Drosophila melanogaster: one gene and its partners. The protein of the gene in region 2 interacts with the protein of the main gene of each other region in a pairwise test. Each region holds a gene or a part of one and is shown on either strand. Other genes may lie near its edges. The genes, in order: CG15529, ari-2, Ubc84D and CG5355.

What was found.
Region 1: the proteins of ari-2 (region 2) and CG15529 interact in a two-hybrid assay, tested with the Drosophila melanogaster proteins (one large-scale study listed by BioGRID).
Region 3: the proteins of ari-2 (region 2) and Ubc84D interact in a two-hybrid assay, tested with the Drosophila melanogaster proteins (one large-scale study listed by BioGRID).
Region 4: the proteins of ari-2 (region 2) and CG5355 interact in a two-hybrid assay, tested with the Drosophila melanogaster proteins (one large-scale study listed by BioGRID).

What each region holds. Positions count from the first base shown.
Region 1 is NT_033777.3:30,150,396-30,154,230, reverse strand, and holds CG15529 (uncharacterized protein), read right to left. Parts: upstream 2,173-3,835; 5' UTR 2,051-2,172; coding exon 1,837-2,050; intron 1,589-1,836; coding exon 1,212-1,588; 3' UTR 1,143-1,211; coding exon of another isoform or gene 1,012-1,142; 3' UTR 951-1,011; coding exon of another isoform or gene 626-950; 3' UTR 532-625; downstream 1-531. Other genes in the region: CG11498 (uncharacterized protein), read left to right, coding at 626-950, 1,012-1,142.
Region 2 is NT_033778.4:22,211,249-22,217,814, reverse strand, and holds ari-2 (ariadne 2), read right to left. Parts: upstream 4,981-6,566; 5' UTR 4,375-4,980; coding exon 4,296-4,374; intron 2,934-4,295; coding exon 1,630-2,933; intron 1,570-1,629; coding exon 1,423-1,569; 3' UTR 551-1,422; downstream 1-550. Other genes in the region: CG30278 (uncharacterized protein), read left to right, coding at 1-297; CG11291 (uncharacterized protein), read right to left, coding at 5,394-5,577, 5,632-6,374.
Region 3 is NT_033777.3:7,518,263-7,521,183, forward strand, and holds Ubc84D (ubiquitin conjugating enzyme 84D), read right to left. Parts: upstream 1,195-2,921; 5' UTR 1,097-1,194; coding exon 635-1,096; 3' UTR 558-634; downstream 1-557. Other genes in the region: alpha-Est7 (alpha-Esterase-7), read right to left, coding at 1,489-1,962, 2,018-2,187, 2,250-2,813, 2,872-2,921. UniProt on the Drosophila melanogaster protein: Catalyzes the covalent attachment of ubiquitin to other proteins.
Region 4 is NT_033779.5:10,409,980-10,415,361, forward strand, and holds CG5355 (uncharacterized protein), read right to left. Parts: upstream 3,485-5,382; 5' UTR 3,452-3,484; coding exon 3,346-3,451; intron 3,241-3,345; coding exon 2,645-3,240; intron 2,589-2,644; coding exon 2,446-2,588; intron 2,386-2,445; coding exon 2,226-2,385; intron 2,164-2,225; coding exon 2,044-2,163; intron 1,983-2,043; coding exon 1,902-1,982; intron 1,844-1,901; coding exon 1,452-1,843; intron 1,385-1,451; coding exon 1,112-1,384; intron 1,058-1,111; coding exon 658-1,057; 3' UTR 558-657; downstream 1-557. Other genes in the region: RpS27A (ribosomal protein S27A), read left to right, coding at 1-72, 262-411; Klp31E (Kinesin-like protein at 31E), read left to right, coding at 4,623-4,678, 4,802-4,940, 5,005-5,382.

The DNA of each region.
Region 1 (3,835 bases), on a different chromosome or scaffold from region 2:
ACAATTCTTAAGGCTATTCAAATAGAATAAAGCCCTTGTCAAAAGTGAAAAAATAGCGATTGTTTTAAAATTGGGACGAACTCTTCCAATTGGCATTTGGCAGGTCAAAAGCTGATAAACTTGATCTTGAAGTAGCTCAGCGTACGAACTGCTTGCACTGCTTTCGTTTGGAAATTTAGCACAGCACAATGACTCTCAAACTGTGAGACCAATTCATCCAGCGAAGATTACTTTCAATTTTCAAGTGCTTGGCCATCAATTATTTCCAGCCAAGCCCGTGGGCTCTGGATGCTTTAAATCCTGTCGGACCACAAACTGCGATTGCAAAATATCAATTTTGCAAGATCGAATTCGCACTAGAGGATGATTAGGCGTTGGTGCAGTGAAAATGTGAGGGAAAGTGGAGCCCCCAGGGTGTCAGAAAATTACGTAGGCGCTTGGGATTTGAATCACTTTCGATCTCAGATGAACGACACTTTTGCAGGGAAATGGTACCATCAAGATTAGTTGATAATAATAAGTCACATATTTATGATTTTCGAAAAACTATTTATTCATTCATAAGTAAGTCTAATTAGATAGTCATCTAATTGATAATTTTCTTAACTTATTGGTACTTGTGTAGCTCTCCTTCCGCCTGTGCCACGGAATGCGGGAGCGAAAGGTCCTGGAAGTTCGGCGAGTCCTGAATTGCCCCTTGGACAGCAGCAGTGAGACCACCTTGTCCCTGGACAGATCCGTTCGCCAGCACCTCTTCGAGACCGCCGAGAGTTTCCCGTTGGGCGAGATCGAGCGGTCGGTGTTCAACCAGGTGCTATCTACTCTGCACGAGTACCCCTGCCTGGAGTCCTGCCCCCCGTTGACGCACTACGTCAGTGCCTGTGTCCGACTGGCCTGGAGGATGATCAACCAGAAGGCGCCGTACTACCTGGACATGGACTTCAACCTGGGTGGGTTTTAAGCTACTCTTTAATCGTTTAACAATCTTACACCTACGTAAATCCCATGCAGGTTTCCTGAGGCCCGAGAAACACGAGCGGCATCCCCAGGCGGACCGGCGATCGGATCTGATAAAAGCCTTCCTCTGGCCCGCCCTGATGCAGAACAACCAGTGCGCCTTCAAGGCGGTGGTGGCCACCTGAGCATCGTCTTAAGCTAACCCCATTTGTACATACTTGCCCTCTCTTATGCAATAAAGATTTGACCCCTAGCTAAGCGTAACTGATGGGACGGAGTTGGACGCACTGGCTCCGGACCTTGTTGGTGCAGAGAAGTGGATGCTCCGTGTAGAACTCCACGATTTCCGAGGGGGATCCGAAGCAGCGCTCCTGAGACTTCTTCTGACCAATGGCATAGCGTTGTCTCCTATCCACTTGCCTTATGAACAGGTGATAGTACTGATCCGCCGCCCAGATGCTCACTATGTAACGGATCCACTGGTCGGCTGCCTTGAAAGGTCGAACCAGGCAGGACCCGTCCTCTCGTCCATGGAGCATTCGCTCCGCCGTAGGACGATCCACTGTGAAGTAGTACTGCTCCTTTTCCACATGCCTCTCCTCAATCTCCGCGTAGTTGACATCGGCATCGTCTTTGCGGAATTAAAAATGTTGTATTAGTAATTGGACCTATTTACCGCTTAATCTTCTAATTGAGTATTACTCTACATTAATTTATGCCTCTGTAGTTATCTATTATTTATCAAATTTCGATCATTTAAACTTAAATTCGAGTTAAATTTAGCTCTACGAACTGTATCGTGCTTTCTGTTTTGGTTTATATGCCGTCACTCTGGGGATTTGGCTTTGTTTTGAAACCGAGAGATCGATGCGTACTCACCCACAATGACGTAATCCTCACGGGGCTGCTGTTGTGGATCGTCGTCGGTGCTGGAAACCCGTTCTGCGACGTCACCTTCCTGACTGGCCTGCCGCTGATAACCGAAGCAGCAGCTACAGAAGGTGGGCGATCTGACTTCCATCAGGCTGTCCATCATGCGAGCCAGGAGATTGTGCAGAACCGTCCAGTAGACACGTGCACACCAGCAGCACATGGCGCCAAACGACACAGTAGAGCAGTCCTATTCCCGCGACCTTGGATTAGATGGATCGGTGGCACTGAGACCGCCGCTCCCGGCAAACATCTTTCGCTATCGAGCTGCGCTGAAGACTGACTACTTTGTGACCAGAACCAGACGAGGAACCAGAACCAGAACCCAGAATTCAGAGCCCGAGAACAGAAGCCGTCTCGTCTGGCAGTGCTTATTAATTAAAATGTGTCTACTGCTCGGTTGTGGGGCGGCAGAAATGTTCATATTTAAATAAGATATGGATATGGCTGGTAAACAAAATTCACATTGGCAAGAACGCGGGAACTCGGATAGTTTGAAGCCCGGCGAGTAACTGGATACTCCGAGTGCAGTGGGGAGATCAGCTCTCTGTTCTTATACACAATGAGAAATGCAGTCAACCTTTCTGTGCTTAATATCTCACAATTTAATTATCTGTAATGTCTTTATATATAGAGAGATCCACTGAAAGAACGCAGTTTAAACGTACATAACGAAAATAGGATTATTTTTGAGTGTACAATTCTTTGCAGTGTACATGTGGGCAACGACAATTATTAAACGTTTAGCACCCATGCATTTTCCATACCCCCCCCCCCCACCATTTTTCCGACTGACTGTGGAATTCATTGAATGTGCCTGCAATTTTTGGTGGGGAGGGGTTCCCCATATCGCATTTCTGCGGCTCTACATAACCGAGACCGAATGGATACGAGTGGCCAACATATGGATCTGAGCCGTTTGCCCGCTCTGCTAAAAAGTTTGAGAACTGAGTTTGTTTTGCTGATCTGTTGTTTTTATTAATGAGCTGTTGATAGTGCTGGTTAAGTCCCATTTGATAGGCATTCAAAAAATTCTATAATTATAAATCCTATAAATTGTAAATATGACTTTTTGGTCCAAGCTCGATTTCCCTGTTTTTGGTTAAAAAATAATGCGTTTTTTGGACACAACTTTGAAAATAATGGTTCAAAAGTGGAGTGGCATATCTTATTTTACTCCTAATTAACTTCCCAATCGATTAGTGTTCAAATTTGGAAACTTTAAATTTTTGCGATTTTTTGCAAAATTTGATGATGTTACCCCTTATAAAAATTCGAAAATTGACAAAAAAATTTTTTTTTCTTAATTCGAAAAAACGGGACAGGGATCGTAAGCATTGGTAATTAGCTGCACAAAACAGTAATTATTTTTACTTTACGACCATTTTCAGTCAAGAAATATTGAAAAAACCACTTGGAAACATGGATTATTTTGATCAACTAGTTTTTCTCATTTTCCATCCAAAATAATCGTTTTATTTTTACAAGGAAATTATCCATGTTAAAGATTAAATAATCATTTAAAGCGTTAAGCATTAGCTGAGACACAAACCTTTCGAAGTTTTACCGTAAGCTTACCAACGGCTGTGGTGAAGCTCTCCCGCTGTCTCTGTCACTCGCACTTCCCTGTCTCTCGCACAATTTAAATATTTCTTAAAATTCAAAAGCAATTAAAGTGCGGTCATAAATTGTGCGAGCTGACTACGCTCCGAATCGATTGCATTCAAATCTCCTTGTAAAACCCAAAATGGGCGTGCAAATTGCCAGCACGTGGACCCATAGATATGGTTCTAAAACTTACAGATCCGGGCAAAAAGAGTGCTGCTCAGTTCATTACGTATACGCCGGATTGGCTGCAGCAAGCATCGCGATTTTGTTTGCACATCTAAAGCAGTGACTATTCGCTAGACAGAAGGCAAACATCTTCGCAGGCCAGTCACGTGCACGT
Region 2 (6,566 bases):
CTGCTGCTGATCAAGAACTGCTGCGAAGTGGAGGTCTATCCCGCCAAGAAAGTGGAAAATATGAACAACGTGAGGGTGACCAAGATATCGGGAGTCAAGAAGTTCGCCAACAGTCTGCTGAAGGAGCATTCCGAGTGCCGGTTGTTCACCTTAGCCAGCCAACTTGCGAAGCAGAAACCACCTTTGGCGCCTGATGTTAGGATGAGTCGGATGAGCAGGAAGAGCCGGAAGAGCCGAAAGAGCCGGAAGAGCAGCAGAAAGAGTTCACTGTTCGGCAATAAAAAGGGTAAAAAATAATAGCAAAAACATCATCGAAGACTAACTAAGCACATCCAATCTGAATAACAACGAAATCAAGGAAGATAAGTTGGAATATAGCTCGTACTCAATCACTAAAAAAAATAAACTCGGCTCAAAACCCAAACTTGAAACTTGAGTGAAAGCTTATCCTTAAAACACTCAATCCAAGCTTCGTATGAGCTTCTCCAAAGCTTTAAGCACAAGACCCAAATCGTAAGCTTGCAGCCCACAGTCGAAAAGTCAGTTGAATAGTTGTATATCTAGTGTAAATTTAATTCAAATTCAGTCGCATAAGCATACATACATAGCGTAATCCTAGAATATAATTTATGATTCAGCTTACAAAGTTAATCGAGAATCGAGTGAGAATCAAAAGGAACGGGATCGGGGACGGGGAGTATCTATCTTCGTTCTTACTTAAGACTTTTGCGTTCGATTGATGTGCTGCGATTAGTTACGAGATACAGATTGCGAATACTTGATGCTGTTCACGCGGGGCTAATACAAGGTTTAAAACTTAGGGTCTAACCGATGAGCCGATCTGCTTAGGCGGTCTTTGATCTATAATTGCTTGACTTGCGGCGCTATACATTTAGAATTGTTACTGTTTCTGCATTTCATCGGGTCGTTTGGGCTAGTTTTTGGAAAACTGTTGGAACACTTGGCCACTGAAATGCGTCTGGTTTGTCAGTTAGTCAGTTGCTAGATTTAAAGTTAGTTTTATAGTTATGGTATAGCTACCGGTATCGGTATCGCTAGGGCTTTAGCTATAGATACTGTATATCGTTAACGTTCTGCGCAAGGCGTTGTATTGCAGTTACACCGATCATTTTGAGTGATTTCGAATGTCACAACTATAGTAATTATACTTCGAGTAGTCGACTATGCTCTATGCTACGTTTTCTAGTCTATATGCACTTGATTATTAGTTTAATTTAAAAATTAGCTACACGTCGTTGGGCCTACTACTAGATGGATACATGTAAATATGTGTATAATTTAATTTAAATAAGCGTCTCTATACTGTCGCGTCACGTCGACCTGTCAGCAGTCAATCAAAGAGTGTTTGTGCTAAACAAGACAGGCTGTCCGTTCTGGTGGCCCTGGAAGCTCGACGGTTGCCTATGCGTCCACTGGGAAGAAGTCTTTCAGTAGCGTGGTGCGGCGCTTTTCAGCGATGTCCATTTGATTCTCGAGATCACCCAGGTCCGTTGTCTCGGCGCGCTCTATCTTCCACGACAGATTCTCGATTTCGGCCTCCAGTTGTGCCTGCACGGAATTAATACATTATTGGGCAACCAGTTAAAGAATAGCCGAACTGCGACTCACCTGCTGGTACTCAAAGAGATTCTTTCGCGAACCGGCCTCCATGTAATAGGCGTACGGATAGGTGTACTGCAGCGTGTATCGACACTTGGCCAGCAGTGCCGCCGCGTTGAAGAGGTATTGCCAGTCGATCCAGGTGCCGCTGCCGTTCATCACCTTCGAGTTGATCCGCTGGCGCAGCCGGTCGATCGTCTGTTGCTCGAGTTTCAGAGACTTGGAGTGGTTCTCCCAGCGCTCGTAGTAGTGCAGGTACTTCTTCAGCGCCTCGCGCGCCTGCACGTGCACCGACTCGTTGGCAATGTTGGGGTTGTCCTTGTAGCGAGAGCACTCGTAGTACTCGGAGCCGTGCGTCTTCCAGTCGCCCAAGCACATCCAGCAGAAGTCGTGCTTGCAGTTGAAGCACTGCATGTGGTTGCAGCCGCCGTTCTTCTCAATGCAGATGTGACACTTGGGGCAGTCTTTGGTGTGGGCGCTGATGTAGTTTGCCGTTTCGCTGTCGTCGGCGCACTTGGTCAGCCACTTCTTGATCACCTGGCAGTCGGTGGGTGCGTGGTAGTCCATGCCGCACCGGAAGCAGAAGCCCGTGTGGCAAGCCTTGCAAATGGCACGTTTGGCGGAGATCTCCGATGATTGCACAATAATCTGGCAGTTGGGCCCGGGACAGAAGCGGAGTTCCGGGTGTGACTTGACGTAGTCCTTAAATGCAAACTGCTGGTACTTGTCCCGCATAACGGGTCGCGTGACCAGCGTCAGCACCAAGTCCTCGGGCACCCTAACATTACACATCTGGGCCATGCAGCCGATCTGCGTGGAGATTCCCTGGAAGATCTGCGTCTCGAAGTATATGGTCCAGCAGTCCTTGCAAAACGAGTGCCCACACGCCAGGCTGTAGAACTTGTCGCCCAGCTGCGAGCTGGCACAAACGGGACACATCTGGCTGCGGTACTGTGGTGTCGCCGATGCCGTCGTCTTGTACCCGCTGCTCCCCAGTCGGAGCAGTTGGGCACTGGCCGCCGCTGCACTCGTCGAAGCCGTATCCGTCACTGCCACCGATGGCGGCTTGATTCGCGCCGTCACCAGCAGTGCATTGGCGTCCTGGCGGTACTTTTCAACGACGGCCACATTGTTCCACTGGTGCTCCAGCAGCAGCACCTTGGCCAGCGAGGGTGTGATCTGCAGGATGGTGTTCAGCTTCTCCACGCGCTCGTTCAGCAGCTTCTCGATGTCCTCGACGGTTAGGCACTCGTACTCAAAGTACTCCGGGTCGGCCCGCTTCGGATCCAGACGCTCCACATCGCAGTCCTCGCCTGAAGAAGAAAAGGATATTAGTATTATAATATAATTGAACTTTATAACATTTATAAATCATAAATCTATTATGCTTTGATAGGACAGTTTCCACTTTTTCTTTTGGTTATTTAAGCTAACTGATTGTATTTTAAACCAAAATCAGACTGAAAGACAGCAAGGGTGGATTTCAAACGAACCCTGAGTTAGCAGTTGCAGTTATATACAATAGGGCACTTTTAATCCCTTATTGTACAAAACTGGTTCCAGAGTTACGAAGGTTGAGTTGAGTTTGTAAGTTAAGCAATGGCTGACTTACATTGATCGGTTGAAACCGACGAAACATTATTACTTTGGGAATATCTTCTATGTTAATCTGACATGTATGGATCAAAAGGGATTACAGTGTATGCAGCCGGTAATCATGTTTGCATTTTGTTAGTCACATTGGCTAATTCGAGAAAACAACCGCGCGACAAGGCTGCCATAGAAGTGCTCGACGTTACGATGTTACCGATATGAGGTATCCGATTGAAGGTTGAGTTAGGGGGCGTCTTGGCCAGGTCGGAACAATAAGGGACAGGTCAAGAAGCGGAGACCGAGTTGACGGAACAGCGGCACACAACAGAATGCAACTGCGTACTTGAGCACGCACCTGAGCTGGTGTTCGTGGTGTGTGTGTTAATGTGTGCTTGTGTGGGTTGTGGAGCTACGAAGAGCGTGAGCAGAGTGGCGGGCAATAATGAAGCCAGCCACAAAACACAAGCCTCGCAATCAGTCCCAACTCGCAACTACCAATTGTACTTGCCCATGCACTGAGAGAAATCAAGTCTTTAGTAATATTCTTATATTATTTTGCCCCTTTTAAATCAATATTGATTTGAGTTCATGTTATAAAACCATTTGAAAATCAAGCCCTATCACATAATTCTCTAAATTGAGGTATCAAATCATCATTAGAATTGCTTTGGGAAATGTACCAAATGTAATCATTTAGTTTGGCCTAGATTTGACATTTTAAAACTAAACATTTATCCTATTACACAGTGCAATTTTCTCGCCGTGCAGCTACGTGCGTGTGTGTTTGTTTCAAGTTCAATTCCATAATTTAAGCTTCATGGTCAGCGAAGAAGGGCGGAGATCAAATGGGGGGTGTGGGGTTTGGTCATGGAACCCAAGGCGAATGTCAAGTGCTGAATGCAAATTCCCAGGTCTTGCGGGCCTCCTTCCGAAAAGGTGAATAACCAAACCAAGAGCCCGACATGTGTGTGTGTACTTCCTCACAGATACACTCGTACCCCTAATTTGGCCACAGTTAAATCGATGGCCGATTGTTGTCAGGGGGAAGTGCCCCTCTAGATCAGGTACTAGTTTCCACTTACCTGTGTTGTAGTAGTCGTAGTCGTCGTCGTACTCCCCGTCGTTGTCCGATTCCATATCCATTTCGATGTCCGAGTCCATTCCGGCGGATTGGCGCTTAAGATTTGGGCCTCAGATTCGGGATGTTTGGTTGGGAATTCGAGTTTCTGGCGAGGACACTCACTGCTTCCGTGTGAGTGTGAGTGCGGGGTGTCTTCTCTCTTGCTCTTTTGTAACAGTTGTTGTAAGGGCGCTGGTGGTTGCTGTTGTTGTTTTCGCAGGAGGTGGATGATGGACCCAGAGAGCGGGAGGGGCGGTGGATGCGGATAATGGAAAGTGGCCGATTTAGCGCGATGCAGTGCCACCGATTCTGGTTAGGGTGATGAACTTTGCGGGGTGGCTATTCTACGGCGGGGGGCGGTCCCTTGTTTTATTTTCGTTTATCAACATGCATGTGTACACACACACACGAGCGCACTCTCGCTCTCACGCACACACACTCGCACAGCCGTTGCACTCAACTCAAGGTGTTTTTTCTACTTCGCCTGCAGTTTATTTTCATTTTTCGCTATTTATAGAACAATCTTATGCACCACTGACAATGCACTAGATGCACTGACTTTTTGCGTTTTTAAGCGAGCACAGCTTTTGCAGAGAACATTTTGTTCTTTGTCTTGTCCGAACCTATCGGGGCATATCGTTCTTCGATAGTTCGATGTTTTATTACTCTTCTTCTTTCAGTGCGACCACGAAGCAATCAAATCAAATACCAAAAATATACCAACAACATGTATTTTTTTATTATCACATTAATTCAACTTTTTCTTCGCGATTATTGATGCAAAACTATTAGTTTCAACAGAAAACTGGCAATTTGCTTTACTATTTTAGATTACAAATTTTAAAACTAAAAATTTACAAATATACTGGTAGCACTGACTCGCGACTTGTGCTAAAAGCCAAAATACCGAAATCATTTAGCACACAGGAGTGCTCAGAAACAAAACAGCTGTTCAGCTTTTGAGCGGCTTAGTTTGAATTTTGAATATGATCTAAATTACTTTTTGGTCAGCTGGGTATGTTTTTTGGATATGGAAATCGCTTTTCTTGCCCGACATCACCTAGATGCATAAATACTCCCCAAAAGAAGCAAGACCGGAGAGAAAAGCATCTGGAACAAGTTTCATTTTCTTCTCATCTCCCTCTTTTTTAATTTTCTCGGCTTTTTCGATCGCTCCGTTATCGCAGCCCACCAATAATGATTGGAAACCACATATACTTGCAAATAAAATGTCTGATTTAAGCCTAAAGGAAAGAGGATAAAGTATGATCCTCAATAAAAGTAATCATTGAACTTACGAGTTTCCAATGACAAGCGTCTTTTCGGGCTTTATTTCGCCAGACTTCATCAACTTGCCCAAAATCCGCTGATTCGGTTTGCCCAAAACGATAGGCTTGCGTTGTACAATTATCTCGATGGCAGAGGCCAGAGATCCGGCATCTGGGATCCTCTTTTTCCCAAATGGCTGGAATCCATCAATGCAAGTGGTAAGGAACAAGACTTTGGGATTTTGAAGATAGTTGCAGGCCACAAGCAACTCGTTCGCTATCATGTTGTCGTCTCTGGCCACCAAAACAGCTCCCACATCCGGATCGAGAACTAAGCTCCTGACGAAGTCGATTTTTTTCTGGTCATTTGGCTGCAGATCGTTTACCACGGAACAGAATCCGGCCTCTTTCAGATCTTTGCGGATACCGTCACCACCCAAAACGAGGATTTTCTTCTTAAACTTCCGGTCGCTAAGGTAACTCGCAATGGCACCCGACGAGCTGAAAATGTCCTGCTCCTTGACATTGAAGCCCAGGCACTTGGCCTTCTGGAACAGATCCTTGTTTGTTAGGCAGCACTCGTTGGTGGCTATGAGACATCGCTTTCCCTTTGAAATTATGGCATTGAATGCCTCTACAGAGCCCTCAATGGGGGTATTCTCCTGCCACAGCACCCCATCCGTGCTGCAAATAATGGTGTCGATCCCGGCCAGCCATTCGGCCACCTTTGCCTTCGGCAGCTTGTCCAGATGGCTTAGACTGCGCCTTAACATAATACAATTTTGATTAAATTTAGAATGTGAAATATTAAAATTTTGAGTACTTTATGACATTATTTTCAAAGATTAAAAATTTCATATTGCCATATAAGAGTATCATAAAATAGCAAGGAATACGAAAAAGTTTATTTGGCAAAAGTAAAGTGATACTATATAAAAATGTTTTCTTTCTAATAAAATCTTCGG
Region 3 (2,921 bases), on a different chromosome or scaffold from region 2:
CCAAAGTGATGAATGTGGTCAATATTTGATAGCTTATGCGTATATGTGTAACTGTATTAGGTAAATATGATTGCTATAATTACCAATACGATATTGCCAAATGCGGTTGCCTGTTGTTACTGTTAATGATACATTAATGTAATTTGATTAAATTCGTTACTCGTAGACAAAGGGGTATATCAAGTAATAGGTATCAATTATATGTGTACATATATAGGATCAATATCCGAGTGAACTCGGGAACTATAATGGCTAGAAATGGGAAATCAAGCATGCAGATTCTACAGGCGCTGAAGCACAAGTTTTCTTTAGTAGATTGCTAGACACCGGCCACAATCACCGCCAAGTAGCCAAGAGTTGGCTACGATTGTAGCAATAAACCAACAACATGTATTCCACGCTTACCAACGGCCACAATTTTTTTACCTCAATTTTGAAAAATATTTTGAATTTCTTTTTAACTGTACTTTTTTTCTTGCCCATTTTTTTTATCGAATTACCGTCCATTTAATGCGCCATACATATATCTTAGCGAACATTCAAAATATGGACAACTTATGTCTGACAAGTTTTAATTGATGGTCCAAACTATATATAATTTTGATATACAAATAAATGTGAGCTGCGGCTGACTTCACTCTGGTCGCTTCTCCGCATTCTTCTTGGTGAACTCTTCGGCCGTCTTCATGAACTTCTTGTGCTCCCTTACGAACTCCTCGGCCAGGTCAGAACGAAGCGGATGTTCTGGCTCCGGGTTGTGGACGATGGCTACCAGGGCCTGGAGCACCTGCTCTGTGCGCGTTGTGGGCTTCCAGTTGTCTGTGCTGATGATGGGCAGGCACACCTCCCCCTTCTCATCCACGTTGGGGTGATAGATTTTCGTCTTGAATAGGATCTTTGGTGGCATAAAGGGATACTGGGGCGGGAAGTTGATTTCGATGCGGAAGGCGCCCTTGTTGTAGGGCGCCTTTTCCGGAACCAAAAGACCCGTCCACATCAGCAGGGACTCATCGCTACTCTCGATGTTGCGCAGAGTGCTCATCTTGGCCTCAACCAGATCGGAGAGTTCCCGTGTCAGACGACGAGTGGCAGCCATTCTATCAACGGGATCAGAGTTCCTTTCCTTTGTTTTCCCTAGATCTCGGAAAAAAACTTGTTAATTTAAAAAAGTCTAAAAATTTAATTTTCCTATTGCTATTGACAGTAAAGTCAAAAGGGCATGTCGAACATTGTTTTTATATTCAAACTTATTAAGAAGTTATCAAGCATTTAAATAAATGGCGTAAACTGAGGTAAATATAGAGATAAATAGAAATATATATTTTTAAATCTCACCTAAACTAGGATTTCTCATCCACATGCAATCATTGGGCAAACTAGTTATAAAGCAAAACAATCCAATTGCAGAATATATTTTATAAAGCATTTTGACCTATTTACAGTTTCTAGAGACTTCTTTGTTAGGCTGTACAGAACAGTAAGTTAAATTTAAAACAATAAATCTTTGTTGTCGTCATAGAGGCTCTCCCAGACCTTCAATTTGGGCCACTCAGGCAGATCGATGAACTTCAGGTCATCACTGATGTTGAGGCACTTGATGACCTCGTCGGATTTGCGAACTGGATCAATGGTCAGAGTGTCCATACCGTTGATCTTCTCGCTGTAGGGATTACCCGTGGCAGCAAACTGGGTCCAGATGCCCACGGTTCGTTCGATGTTCCTGTACTCGCGACTTTCCTTCGGCAACCGGCGAGCCAGCAGGCTGCTGAATTGGTAGCTCAAATCGTCGGCATGGCTGACCCCCTTGACACCGCGTCCCAACCGCATAATGCGGTACGGAAAAATGAGCTCCTCGGAGTCGAAGTCATATCGATAGAAATATACTGGAGCTCCAGCCGCGTACGCGTGTCGGGAATGGACCACCCTCAGGGCCGGAAACACGAAGTAGTAAATCGAACAGAGCTGAAATAAATTACCAGCTTATGATTATGTAAGCACCTAATTGGACGACACTTACATCCATGTAATTATCTGGGGTGCTTTCTGAGCCAGTGCGATGAACATCTCGAATCTGTGCACTCCACGAATCCAGTTTTTCTTTACTGGGCTCCGTGGCCAGCAATTCTTTGGGAATGAAAGGTGTGCCAGCATCAAGCTGCTGCAGCACCTGCGGCATAAGCTTTACCTCTGTGAAATAAAATTAAATTTACTTATTGAAAGAAAATTCAAAAAAATTCCCAATATCTAACCTGGAACCCACAGCAGGCCCTCGTACGAAGTGTTTCCTATAAACATGGGGATGGAGTTACTCCAGGCGGTCTTCATCATCTCCTTTGGAGGCTTGGATATCACACATTCGGGCGTGGAGAATGGTTCCAGGGATGGGCCAAAGGCAAACATTATCTTGTTCATGCGTTCCTCCAGTGTCAGGACATTTTCCTCCACGCGAATAAGATCCTTGGCCTTTACGTTCTGCAAGAACTCCAGCACATCCTTGTCGTTGTCCTCGCCCTTGTAGCCAACCAGCTTGGCTATCCTGTAGGGATTATGGGTAATGTCGCCGTTGTAGGCCCAAGGACAAATGGCACTGCCCGACTGCAAGATGCCGCGATGAAAGAGCCCTTGGGTCTGATCGGTTAGCATCATGTAGTGAGTGGAGGCGCCTCCAGCACTCTCTCCAAAAACAGTGATGCAGTTGGGATCTCCGCCGAAACTAGCGCAATTGTTCTTGATCCACTTGAGGGCCAGCACCTGATCCTTGAGGCCAGCATTTCCTGGTACATTTAGCTCGGGGGACTTAAGACTCATAAATCCTGTGTAGGTACAATAATGTTTAGTCAAAATATTGCGCATACGCACACAGTAGATTACCCAAAGCCCCAAGTCGGTACTGTATCGTGACGAGAACAACATCTTCTTTC
Region 4 (5,382 bases), on a different chromosome or scaffold from region 2:
AACTACTCCACTCCCAAGAAAATCAAGCACAAGAGGAAGAAGGTCAAGCTAGCTGTCCTGAAATACTACAAGGTACACACAACAATCTACCGACACCATACCGAAAACATTCTGATCTGTTCTTGGAATTCTTGAGTCTTGGTCTTGTGCTCATTGGCTTAAGATTTGGATATCAGAGTGACTTTACCAGTGCCCTATATTGAATGAACATGTGTACGATCTCAGTATTTAATCACTTTCTATGCTCTTTCCTTTCCATAGGTTGACGAGAACGGCAAGATCCACCGTCTCCGTCGCGAGTGCCCTGGTGAGAACTGCGGCGCCGGCGTCTTCATGGCTGCCCACGAAGATCGTCACTACTGCGGCAAGTGCAACCTGACCTTTGTCTTCAGCAAACCAGAGGAAAAGTAATTTTGCTACATAAGATCATGTACGTTTCCAGAAATCAAATAAAGGTAGTAATTGAATAATAAATTCAATCGCTGAAATTTTCCTTTTTTTTTATTGTTAGTTAGCACTAGCGTGGTTAGTAATTGTTTAGCAAAACACTAAAGTTTCATTTAGGGTGTATGGTTTATTTGTGAAAATATTGAATACATTTTGTATACTCGATTTTTACTCGACCTTGAGAAATGCAATTTGTTTATGGTTAACCACTCAAACGTTAACTATGTCGACGTTAAGGCTTTTGGACAAGAAAGTCAGTATATCGGTGGCTTCCTCGATTCTCTTCGATGTCGGCTTGCCAGCGCCATGGCCCGCCTTCTGGTAGACGCGCAACAGAACGGGATTTTTCTGGAATTCCGAGTCGCGAACAGCTTCCTGGAGGGCCGCAATGAACTTGAGCGAATGCAAAGGGCTGACACGATCGTCGTGGTCGGCGGTCAGGATCAAAGTCGATGGGTATTCCGTTTCGGCGCCCTTCGGAGTGTGCACATTATGCAGCGGCGAGAACTTGTACAGGTTGTCAAAGTGCTCCTTCTCCGATGGGTTTCCATAATCCGAGCACCAAGCGTGGCCAATGGTGAACTTGTGGAAGCGCAACATATCCATGACACTATGAAATCAATATATTTCTCACTTGGTCACAACAAACAGGCTATCTACTTACCCAACTTGAGCCACAGCAGCTCCAAACAAATCCGGACGTTGGTTGATACACGAGCCGACCAAAAGGCCTCCGTTGGAGCCACCTTGGATGGCCAAACGATCCTTGGTCGTGTACTTATTCTCGATCAAGTACTCGGCAGCTGCTTGGAAGTCATCGAACACGTTCTGCTTGTTCAGCAGGCGACCGCCGTTGTGCCACTTCTCGCCATATTCGCCACCACCTCGCAGATTCGGATAGGCGAGCACACCATCGAATGTGTCGATGAACATAAGCCTGCAGAGATTGAAGGATGTGTTCACATATATACATGCTAACTTTTAAAAAGTATTTCTCAACATACCCAGAGAGTCCGAAGGAAGGCAGCATGCTGATGTTGAAGCCTCCGTATCCGTAAAGCAGACATGGTCGCGGCTCAACACTATCACGTTTTTTCCTAATTATGAACATGGGAACCTTGGTGCCATCCTTGCTCTTGTAGAATATCTGCTCAACGGCGTAATCCTCGCGACGGAATCCTTCCAAATTCAGTTTGATTTCGCGGAATACTGATGGCGACTTGTCAGGTGTCTTGAAATCATATCGATAAATGGAGCCGGGATTCAAAAAGGACGAGAAGTTGTAGAATATTTCAGAATATTTCTTCTCTCCCGATGTGCCTACAATGGTGCCGATATCCAAGTCGAATTCGCGCAGTAGGGTGCCATCCTTTAGGGAATTCACTTGCAAAACGCTCTGAAGAACGAATATGGAATGAGGCATATAGATGAATGACTAATAGGTTATTATTTACCTTCACATCCCTGATGTAACAAACGAGCAGTTTATCATTATCAACGCACTTAACCCAGTCCAAAACATCCGACTTGTGCTCCTATAAAACGTATAGTAGTCGTGATTAATCTTATCTACGTTTAAAAACAAACTAAACCTACGGCTATAAGCGTTTCCCATTTGTCCTCCGCTGAATTATTGAAGTCTATGGCAATAACTTGGTAATTTGGTGCATTCTTATTTGTACGGAAGAATATCTTCGAGCCTTCATTGGTAATGTACTGAAATAATGATATAAACATGTATACATTACTATTTTAAAGACTGTGAAAACATTACATACATCGTAGTCCGCCTCGAATTTTTCCACAATTTTCTTGACATTCAGTTTGGAAGTTATTTCCGCACCTGGCGTAAGATCAGCATAGAACACAATGTTGTCACGGCAATCTTTAACAATGGCCAGAATCAGGTATTTTCCACAATCCGAGACGGTGGATTGGCTAAAGTTGGAAAATTGATTATAATCTATGTTTCAACACCATACAATTTAAGATCATTACATGCGCCACGAAGGCTCTTCCGGAAATTCGACCACCAGTGTGTCTTTATCCTGGCTCTCACCCACCCGGTGATAGTACAACTTTTGATTCTCATTCTGTTTGGTCTCAGATCCATCGGTTTTTCCATCTTGGTCAGGGTATCTCTAAGAAATAAACGACTTGAATTTGAATTACCAGGACGAAAGAGTCCAGTACTCACACCATAAAAGAATCCCTTATTGTCTTTTGTCCACGAAATCTCCGAGAACTTGACCTTTTCAAGGACCTCGCTCAGATCCTTGCCCGTTTCGGCATCTCGAATGAGAATCTTGATCCAATCGGATCCACTTTCACTCAGGCCGTAGGCCATGTACTTGCCATCCTCGGAGAAGGCCTTCTGAGTCAGGGCGATGGTACCGTCCTCGGACAGGGTGTTCGGATCCAGGAACACCTTGCTTTCACTCTCGTCGCCCAGCGATTTCTGCTGGTACATGACGCTCTGGTTTTGCAGGCCAGTGTTCATAAAGTAATAGTAATAGTTGCCATAACGCATGGGACATCCGTATTTGGGATAGTTCCACAGCTTGGTAAGCTTCGTGTTCAGTTTCTTCCACTCCTCTCCATTCTCGAGGAAAGGCCGGCTTATGCTGTTCTGGGCATTCACGAATTCCTCGGTTTCCGTGGAGTCCGGATCTTCGAGCCAGCGGTACACATCCTTGATCTGGGTGCCATGAAAGTCCTCTGCCACGCTTTCATCCTTCCGAGCAACTGGATACGCGAGCTTAGCGGACAAAGTACTTGGCATGGCTCTGGTAACTTTGTTGGATTTATTACACGTATGAGAATATATGTATTAATCTTTCGCTTTTCGGCTTTTGCAACTCATCCCCATTAGCTATATATATATATGTGTATACTTACGATTTGAAGGCAATTCTCGATGAATGTAATTTCTGGGCAGCGTTTTGGGTACAACTATTTGACAAATTCGGCGGTAGAGCAGCGGTCCTCGAAAAATGGTATGCATTTGCAAAATTATCAATGCAAAAATGGGACACTAACTTGCGATAGTTTCGATAGGTGTTAGGGGCACTCCTTAAATTTTGCTACTGCGAACTATATATCGCCGCCTCCTTATAACTAATTTAAAAAGAAATTTCTCTTGTAATTTTACATATTATATTATTATTTATTTAAATATTTGAATGCTCAAAACGAGATGCTATGACAGATTTTGAAAAACATTTTAATATATAGGTAAACTTAGCAACTGTTAGCTTTTATTTACGTATTCGTGTTGAAATCAATCTTGATTAAATCTTAAAACCACTGTTTAATTTAACTATAAAATACAATAACAACTGGTGAAGCAATATAAACCAAGTTCCTTTAGTCGGTACGAAATGCTGCACCAAGGTAGTAGCTTTATTCTTGAAAATATACCGCACACGTATAGAAAATACCATTGCTTTAGTTTTAGAAATTCATGCAAGAGCACCCCCAATAAAATACCGCAAATGTCAGGTGTGACACAGCCAACTGTGGCTCGAAATTAATCGGTCCGTGAACAGATTACCTCTGTTAAACCATATGTTTTGGTATCGGGAGGCGAGTCGAGTCGGAATATAAACACAATCGAATCAAGTCAAACGGACCGAGTAAATGAATTGAATTGGAATTCCGCGCTGTTTTTAGTTCGTTTAATTTGTTAGCCACCAGTAAGCGCTTTATTTGTTCGGTATGTAGCTTTGCTTGAACTTTTCGTACATCAATTGTGCTGGGAAATCGAAGTTTTCACAAATTTTCCTTCCATATGTATGTTTTTCTTGATCAGCAACTTGTAGGCGCATATGGATGTACCTAAGCTTGTATGCATAAACAAACATTTTGAATGTATTAACTTAGCTAACTAGTTATTATGTTGATCTAAAAGGTAATACAGAACTTATTCAGTTTTATACAGTGCAGTTGGATTAGTAGTATTAGTTCATAACAATGGGCGATTTTCTACGGGTTTCCTATGACATCTATTTATTTTCGCTGAGTTAACAATTTTGTTAGAAGTGACCTTGTAACTAAATATTTTGTTGAGTATTTCATAAGGTGTATGACTTAAGCACGGCCTTCTAGATAATATCCGGGTGTTAAATATATTGCGAATTTAATTTAATTCACATTAATTGTTTTCAGATTGCAATATGATTTCCGAAGTGGACTCCATAAATAAGGATAGTTCAGTACGTGTTGCTGTCAGGTAAGATTATTACAATTCAAAAAACAATAACTATGACCATAAAAGAGCTTGAAATTCTAAAAGTTTAAATTTGAATATCTGTTAAGTGCGCCTAAAAGCATATAATATTGTATATTTTTTCAGAATCCGACCTCAAAACTCGAGGGAGCTAATAGATATGTGTCGTATCTGCACGACCGTCACTCTTGGAGAGCCTCAGATTTTTCTTGGATCTGACAAAGCCTTTACGTTCGACTATGTTTTTGATACCAATTCCAATCAGGTAAAGTTGTCATACTAATTTCCACCTTGTCTTAAGTTTCATTAGCCTTTATTAACCATTTCAGTGTGATATATACTCGGACTGCGTGGAAAAATTAGTAGATAGTACCCTCCATGGCTATAATGCCACCGTACTCGCCTACGGGCAAACAGGATCGGGAAAAACGTATACAATGGGCACTGGTTTCGACCACGAGTCGGAGTCATCCGATTCCGTTCAGCTTGGCATTATTCCACGGGCTGTTCGTCATATATTCAGTGGTATCGAACAACTGGAGGGATCCAGCACTTCAGAACATCCAGCGGCTGGTGGAAGTCCGCAGTTCAGTTTGGCTGTTCAGTACATCGAATTGTACAACGAGGACATCTTCGATCTGCTGGACCCGTTCAACAAGAACAGCAACTTTAAGATACACGAAGATGCCAGTGGACAAATCACAATA